Linked DNA regions of Danio rerio. Each later gene encodes a partner of the first gene's protein in a complex. Links are inferred from orthologs where the notes say so. Each region holds a gene or a part of one and is shown in the gene's direction. Other genes may lie near its edges. The genes, in order: ormdl3 and sptssa.

Region 1 (4,494 bases):
CATGATTGTGAAGCGCATTGGGTGTTTGGCCATACAAAATAAGTGCGCTATAAATACACATTACATTATACTTTGGAAATATTTCAAAAAGAATAAAAATTATTTATATTGATTGATTTTAAACATAACCACATATGCACATATTTGCACATTTATACATTTTATACATAATTTATTATGCATATATAATAGCATTATGCATAGATGCAGAGTTTTCTTTAAATTGTCAGTAATTCATTTTTGTAGTCAATTTTGAATTTAGAGTAATAATGAACAAAATTCATTCATTCATCCATTTTCCTTCAGCTTAGTCTCTTTATTCATCAAAAGTCCCCACAGCAGAATGAACTGCAAACTTATCCAGCATATATTTTACACAGCACATGCCCTTCCAGCTGCAACCCAGTACTAGGAAATACCCATACACACTTACAAGCACACACATACACTACGGACGATTTAGCCTACCCAACTCACCTATAGCGCATGTCTTTGGACTGTAAGGGAAACCGGAGCACCTAGAGGAAATCCACGTCAACACGGGGAAAACATGCAAACTCCACTCCATACAGAAACGCCAACTGACCCTGCTGTGACTCTTGCTGTGAGGCAACAGTGCTAACCACTCAGTAGGCTCGGGTCAGTATAAGATTCTGACAGTATATGGTAACCTTGGATAAAATTATCACGGTTTTATGATACTGATATATATATATATATTGTAACAAACAAAACTTTTTTTCCTCTTTGAACAGTATATTTTATTTTGAGAAACTTTAAGAATATTTTGGGACAGTACTTTTCCAAGTCACTTCCAAAAAGAAGAAATCTTAGGAAGAACAAACAAAACAAAAGCAAACAACGAAATTGTGTCAGAGGACGATTAAATGCCCACATTATTACAATTTTCAGACCACACTGGGGAGAAAGCTGTTCAGCATGACATATTTTAGTTATATTTTAGTATTTTAGAGCTTTTCACTCTATTGAACTGACTTTTTTAAATTCTCAAAAGTCTTTGATAATAAAATATAGGTTATGCTATTAATGACAGTTTTCTTCTTTTTCTGTGTAACACAAATAGAGAAAGTGAGAAGAATGTTAAGGACTTTGCATTAGTCACCTTTCGGTGGCATTACATTTGCTCTCATGAAATTAAAGTGAATGGTGACTGTGAATATTAATCACTAATATTCTGCTAAGCTTCTCTTTTTTGGTTCCACAGAAGAAAATAAGTCATACAGTTTTAACCACACAAGGGAGAGTATCTAAATGATGACTGAATTGTGATTATTCATTTTAAGATGAACAACTCCTTTAATGCAATGAATGCATTGTGTTGTATCCAGTGTTCTTGTGAAATTGTCACCGTTGACTTTCTTACTACAAAACAATCATGGCTAATTCGTTATGTGCAATATTTCGTTTAAATAAACTACCATACCCATAAATCTCAGTATTTTTGCATAATTGCCTAATCTCTCCTCACTAGCACTTTCTGTGACGTGAAGGGGGGGGCGTGCGACTTTTCAGCAAATTATCAACGCATCGACCGCTGATTGGCCTACACCCTCCACGTGACCCACACCGTCCAATCAGCGGATACCCCGATGAATACATTTCCATCCTTCTAAAGGTGAGTTCTGAAAAATGATGACGTGAAACGATGAAGTCTTGCTGTGTTGTCACCATCTGTTTGCACGGGAACAAAGTGCTTGAAAGCAAACATCATGAAATAAACAGACGTGTCAAGTGTCGTGGGCGCAAAACCGCAAGGCTACACTGCATAAAGGCTCCAGAGCGGACGATATCCTGATAACGTTTACGAAATTACAACGGGGGCGAGAACTAAGGTTATAATTTCCTTCCTAAGGAGTTATTGTCAACTTTCTGTCTGGTTAGTGAAGACTCTTGCGCAATTTTGAACAGTAAGTGACTCGTTCTTAGCCCCACTCATCATTTAAATAACATCAAATAACATCAATGCTTGACACTTTCAGAAGTTGCGTTGTGTTTCTCTAGTTTGCATGCTGATGGTGATTTGTGGCATTTTTGTTGTATGACTTGTTACAGTCAGTGCTTGTAAACGTCAGTGAAGTAAATGTGATTTTCACGTGTTTATTTTGTGTTTGACAGTAAGTGCGCAATAGTAGTGAGTAAGGATGAACGTGGGCACGGCGCATAGCGAAGTAAACCCGAACACACGCGTGATGAACAGCAGGGGGATTTGGCTCTCCTATGTGCTGGGCATCGGTCTGCTACACATCATATTGCTCAGCATACCCTTCGTCAGTGTGCCTGTGGTCTGGACACTCACCAACCTCATTCACAACATGGTAAGAAATGTCGAGAACAAGCATTATGATCATGTTACGTAGACTGCTATTGATGTTTATTATTGTTTGGGTCACTGGTTGTTCTGCTAAGTGGTGATCAAAGTAGTTTCACAATTGTTTGTCATAAAAAAGTCATAAAAGTGTTTCTCAATAGCATACAGACAAACACACAATGAAAAATTAACAACAGGAATGTTTCCAAAAATAAAAATTTTCTCTTCATTTACTCACTGTTTACTTGTTAATGACTTTATTCTGTTAAATATGAGGGAAGATATTTTAAAGAAAGCTTAAGTGGTAAGCATTGAGTTCTGTAGTATTTGTTTTTACTACTATGATTGTCAGTGGTTATCGTTTTTTAGCTTTCTTTGAAATATCTTGTAGCTCAATCGACTCACAGCAAGAAGGTCGCTGGTTCAGGCCTCGGCTGGGTCAGTTTGCACTTGTGTGTGAAGTTTGCATGTTCTCCCTGAGTTGGCGTGGGTTTTCTCCGGGTGCTCCGGTTCTCCCACAAGATCAAAAATGTGGTTTAAGGTGATTGGGTAAGCTAAATTGTCCATAGTGTATGTGTGTGAATGAGTGTATGAATGTTTCTCAGTGATGGACTGCAGCTGGAAGGGCATCTGTTGTGTAAAACAAACATATATGCTGGATAAGTTGGCGGTTCATTCCGTTGTGGCGACCCCAGATTAATAAAAGGACTAAGCAGAAAAAAATGAATGAATGAAATATCTTATGTGTGTGTGTGTGTTTAACAGAATAAAGGAACTCTTAAAAGTTTGGAACCACTTGGGGGTGAGTAAATGGTGAGTAAATTTTCAGTTTTGGGATGAACTGTCCCTTTAATTTATAGAACCTCAAGCCAACAAACATGTATGAGACTTTGTTCTGTTGCAGAACATTAAGAATATGTTTTTAATTGAAACCATGGTTTTAATGATCTGCAAAATGCATGTAAATAGCTACTGGGACTAGTAGAGAGTCAGAAACACATACAGATGAGCCAAAATTGCTGTGGCTCCTGATGAGGCTTTAAAAGGATAGTTCACACCAAAATTGAATTTACTCAAGCTCCACATGACCCAGACTTGTTTTATTTATTTATTTTTTCTTTTGAACACAAAATATTTTGTAGAATGCTGGAAATCTGTAACCATTCACTTCCATGGTATTTATTTTTTCCTACTTTGGAAGATGGTTACAGGTTTCTAACATTTTTCAAAATAACATATTTTTTGTTCAACAGAAAAGTGTTTGGAGCCATCTGAGGGAGAGTAAGTGGTGAGTAAATTTTCATTTTTGGGTGAACAATCTTTTTAAGAAGCAAAATAATCAGTGTGTGCGAGAAATTTATTAATATTTACAACATTACTTTTAATCCATTGCCTCAGTGTTTAGTCCTGAACAGCACATGCTCCTGTCCTGTAATGACATAGCAAAATGTTTTTATATTATTGCAATGTTTTAAAAATGTATGTATTGCACACAACTATCACACAAATGCAATCTTAATTTGATAAGGTTTGCAGCATTCAGTACTATTCAAATGCTCTGTCACTTCTAAATTGAAGCAAAAGTCATCATTATAAAAAATGTCAATATGCACCAAGTTTGCAAGGAGACCTAGTTTCTAAAAAAATATCACTGTATGTGCTTCTGTCTTGTCATTTTGACATGACATTTTTCTCCCATGTATTGCTGTGGTTATCACTGTCAGTCACTGCAGTTCCTTTCTGCATTACTTTGAGCATGTCACTTTTAAAATGTGCAATGTGTACAGTACATGGCACATGGTCCTCTTAGCGGATCTCAAAACACACATTTTGTTCTAACTCAAATGGATTGTATACAGTATAAAAATTAGGAAATGTTCTCTCTTGAATATCACTTAAAAGCCGTCACTCACTTCAGTATGTTGCAGTGAGTCACTAAGACTTGATTGATTTCATCAAAAATACAGTACAGATTGTAAAATTGTCAAATGTTATTGCACTATAAAATGACTGTTCAAAAGTAGTTTATAATTTAATAATTTATTCCAGTGATTTTAAAATTGATTTTCAAGTTCATTACTCTAGTCTTCAGAGTCGCATGATCCTTCAGAAATCACTCTAATATTAGTTATTATTATTATTATTATTATTAATAATAATAATAA
Region 2 (3,662 bases), on another chromosome or scaffold:
TGGTTTGCAGCTGGAAGGGCATCCGCTGCGTAAAACATTTGCTGGATAAATTGGCAGTTCATTCTGCTGTGGTGACCCCGGATTAATAAAGGGACTAAGACGAAAAGTAAATAAATGAATGACATGTCAGACTAAATAATCCAAATAAAGGATGAACCTCTGCTGTCTTCATTAGTTTCAAAAAGCACAGATTTCTTTACAACTTGTAAAAGGCGTCTTTGGAGATCTTTTTTTTTTTTTTTTTTGGAAATACAGAAGCATTGTTCAGGTCTATAGCATGCTTGGATGCTGGTTTATAAGTGATTTGTTTTCTAAATCATAAGCTGACCACTGTAGCTTTTGATGTGGAGGGTCCTTTACTGCTGGAGATGCTGTTGCCCTAAAAAAAAAAATCAACAAAACAGTCATAAAAAAACAAACAAACTGTCTAACAGAATTCCTCTGCTATTTTAAAACCTTGACTTTTCCAAACCATGGTGAACTTTGAATTCGGTTATCGTCCCATGTGTGATATATATGTGCGTGTGTGTATATGTTTGTATTTATTTATGTGTGTGTATCTGTTAGGGTTGTCACGAAACTGGAATTTGGTACCAACTGATACTGACATTTTTAAAACATCCATTTCCCGCTAACATTTGAGCGCTGTTGAGCATTTGAATGCTTAAACAGTGCTGACTGGTCATTGTGTTCACGTGCTCAACAGAAATGACTGTGGCTGTTTCTCAATTCCAAGAACGCAGAGAACGGACTTGCGTTCTTGTGGAGACCGGTCTTGCCAGGTGTCCTCGGAAGAACGAACTCAGGAGACCGCGAGGGCAGAGAATGCGTCCTTTGAGAATTGAGATGCTGCGTTCTTCCTGATGGTCACGTGACCTTCACGTGTTTTAAATGGTAAATTATTTAAACATTACAGCCTTCATACAACGATTTATTGTTTTTCCCCTTTTCAAAATTGCATAAAACATTATAAATATATGTCGCACAATATAAATAAAACTGATTTTAATACGAATTTCAGCAAACAAACACCTTTAATGTGTTTATTTCTTTATTAAGATGTCCATGATAATGTTTACTTTCACGGTGTCATTTAGGGAAACTCCTGAGGTGAATAAGTTATATCTCTGAACTTTATTAATAAATCTAAATAAAATGCTGCGCTTCCCATCTCCAGTCGCAATGACTTCTGGGACTTCCAGTGCGAGTTCGGTGCTTAAGTCTGCATCGGTGCGTCCTCGATATCAAGATCACATCCGGGAAGTTTCACGCGTCCTCCGTACTTGCGGTCTTGAGTATTGGAACTGAACTTGGGCAGCTGATGATGACGTTACACGAGAACACGAGGACGCAAGACCGCTGAAGAACGCATATTGAGAAACAGCCATTGATTGGCCATGAATCTCATCAGTTCACCAAACTCACCACAGTTTACTGAGTGTGACCACAGAAACAGGGACACTGGAGCGCTTCAAAGTCACGTCGATCAGCTGGTTTGTCTATAAGCAGACATACGAGAGATCTGCTGATGAAGCTCGGCTTTGAAGCACTTCAGTGTCCCTGTTTCTGTGGTTACACTCCGTAAACTGTGGTGAGTTTGGTGAACTGATGAGCTTCATGGCCAATCACAGTCATTTGTGTTGAGCACGTGATCACAGTGGCAAATCAGCAGTGTTTAAGAACGCTCCACAGCGCTCAAATATTAGTGAGATGGACATTTTTAAAATGCCAGTATTGATTGGTATGGAATTCCAGAATTATGACAACCCTAGTATATATCATTGACCTCTTATGCATCAGTTATTTTTTTTTTTTACAAACATTAGTACAATTTTCATATTTATTTCATTGTAATTTTGTGTACTTATTTTACTGTCATTTTATTTATATTCATTCATTTTCTGGTCGCCACAGCGGAATGAACCACCAACTTATCCAGCATATTTTTACGCAGTGGATGCCCTTCCAGCCACAACCCATCTCTGGGAATTCATTTATATAATAATTATCATTAATATATATTTTAAATCTTTTTTTTTTCATTACCTTTTCCCCATTTAATTCCATCTTTTATCCAGTTTAGTTGTTGTAAATGAATTTTCTCTTGTATAAAGGTTTCCTTAACCATGATCTCAGATTCTCTGCTTATCTCAGTGGCAGCGATGGCGGTCTACACCGGTTATGTGTTCATGCCGCAGCACATTATGGCTATATTACACTATTTTGAAGTGGTCCAGTGACGACAGCCAGCAGGATCATCGTCATCATCATCCTGCGCGCCACCGCCGTCTGTTGGCGGGAAAATGAACTGCTCCAAAACTCCTCTCCACGTGAAAGAAAATGAACACTTCAAACATGGACACTTGTGTTTGCTGAAGGAGAACAACAGTAAACAGCACAGTCTGCCGCTGTAATAGCACACACTGCCCTGTCTGCAAATGTATCCTTTTATAAATAAGATATATATAGGATGACGACTTTGTTTTTAAATAATGCTTCAGTTTTGTTTCATGACAGTGCTTTGTTCAGATGATTCTTATTTTTTGATGTGTATATTTAATTGTATACATGTTTGTAAGATTTTTATAGAGGTTTATTGACCTGAAATGACGTGGTTTGAGTTATCTCTGGTATAGTTTTGGATCTACTTTTGATCAGATTTGACATTGTGAGTCATGGACGGATGTGTGACGCCATTGTTGATCATTCAGAACCGGTTGCTCGGGTCATAAACACACTTCAGTAAACTCCTTCTGTAATCTACCTTGATCTTCGAGCTCTGGAACAATTATTCAGCAGATTCACTGTAAAATCCTGAAGAGAAAATAAGTCTTTTACTTTATGGAGAAGATTGTAAATGGTATGTAAACATTAATCTTGCCTCTAGTTATGAAAAACAAGTTGTATGTCTCAATTAAAATGTTGAATCTAAATTATTTTAGTCTGTTCTTGACTTCTCAACTGATTAACATAGTTTTGTAATAAAGATTTTCTTTTACACTTCAGGTGTCCTGTTTGTGGTAAAATAAGTACATTTTAATACTGAATTAAATCTTGTTATTTATCAATCAACTTCTATTTATATAGCACTTTACTACAGTCACGGCTGACTAAAGTGCTTGACACAAGTAAAAGCAAATTATACAACACAACAGAAAAGCAGACGATGCAAAACAGTACAAAAAATATCAATAAAATCCACAAACATTAAAACACAGCATCAGTGCCCTGCATTAAAAGCCAATTTAAACAAGTGGGTCTTAAGCTGGGCTTTAAAAAGTGTCAGGTCAGGGATTGTATGAAGCTCAGCAGGGAGGGTATTCCAGACTTTAGGACATGCCACTGCAAAAGAGCGATCACCCCACTGCTTGTTGACCGAGGGACTTCAAGCAGGAGTTGGTCAGCAGATCACAGAGCTCTTCTGGGTTTGTGCACATGCAAAAATTTGCATAAATAGGAGCAAGGCCATTGATGGCACTAAAAGCAAACATCAAAAGTTTCAAATCAATACTAAACTTAACGAGGAGCCAGTTTTAGGGAGTAGAGAATTGGTGTAATGCGTTCACTTTTCCGACTGTTGGTCAACATGCGAGCAGCAGCATTTTGCACAAGCTGCAAACCATGAAGACATGACTGATTAACTCTTAACATAAAGTGCATTA

The links.
Region 2: the proteins of ormdl3 (region 1) and sptssa are in contact, whole or in part, in a cryo-EM structure (PDB 7CQI), measured with the Homo sapiens proteins. The link is inferred for Danio rerio from reciprocal best matches to the Homo sapiens genes ORMDL3 and SPTSSA. Residues at the interface, in NP_001307730.1 of Homo sapiens: Val36, Leu38, Ser39, Ile40, Pro41, Phe42, Ser44; in NP_612145.2 of Homo sapiens: Ile44, Tyr50, Thr51, Val54, Phe55.

Annotation. Positions count from the first base shown.
Region 1 is NC_133187.1:23,974,025-23,978,518, reverse strand, and holds the start of ormdl3 (ORM1-like protein 3), read left to right. Parts: upstream 1-1,646; 5' UTR 1,647-1,928; intron 1,929-2,136; 5' UTR 2,137-2,162; coding exon 2,163-2,336; intron 2,337-4,494. UniProt on the Homo sapiens protein: Plays an essential role in the homeostatic regulation of sphingolipid de novo biosynthesis by modulating the activity of the serine palmitoyltransferase (SPT) in response to ceramide levels.
Region 2 is NC_133192.1:11,126,686-11,130,347, reverse strand, and holds the end of sptssa (serine palmitoyltransferase small subunit A), read left to right. Parts: intron 1-203; exon of another isoform or gene 204-379; intron 380-2,136; coding exon 2,137-2,240; 3' UTR 2,241-3,000; downstream 3,001-3,662. UniProt on the Homo sapiens protein: Component of the serine palmitoyltransferase multisubunit enzyme (SPT) that catalyzes the initial and rate-limiting step in sphingolipid biosynthesis by condensing L-serine and activated acyl-CoA (most commonly palmitoyl-CoA) to form long-chain bases.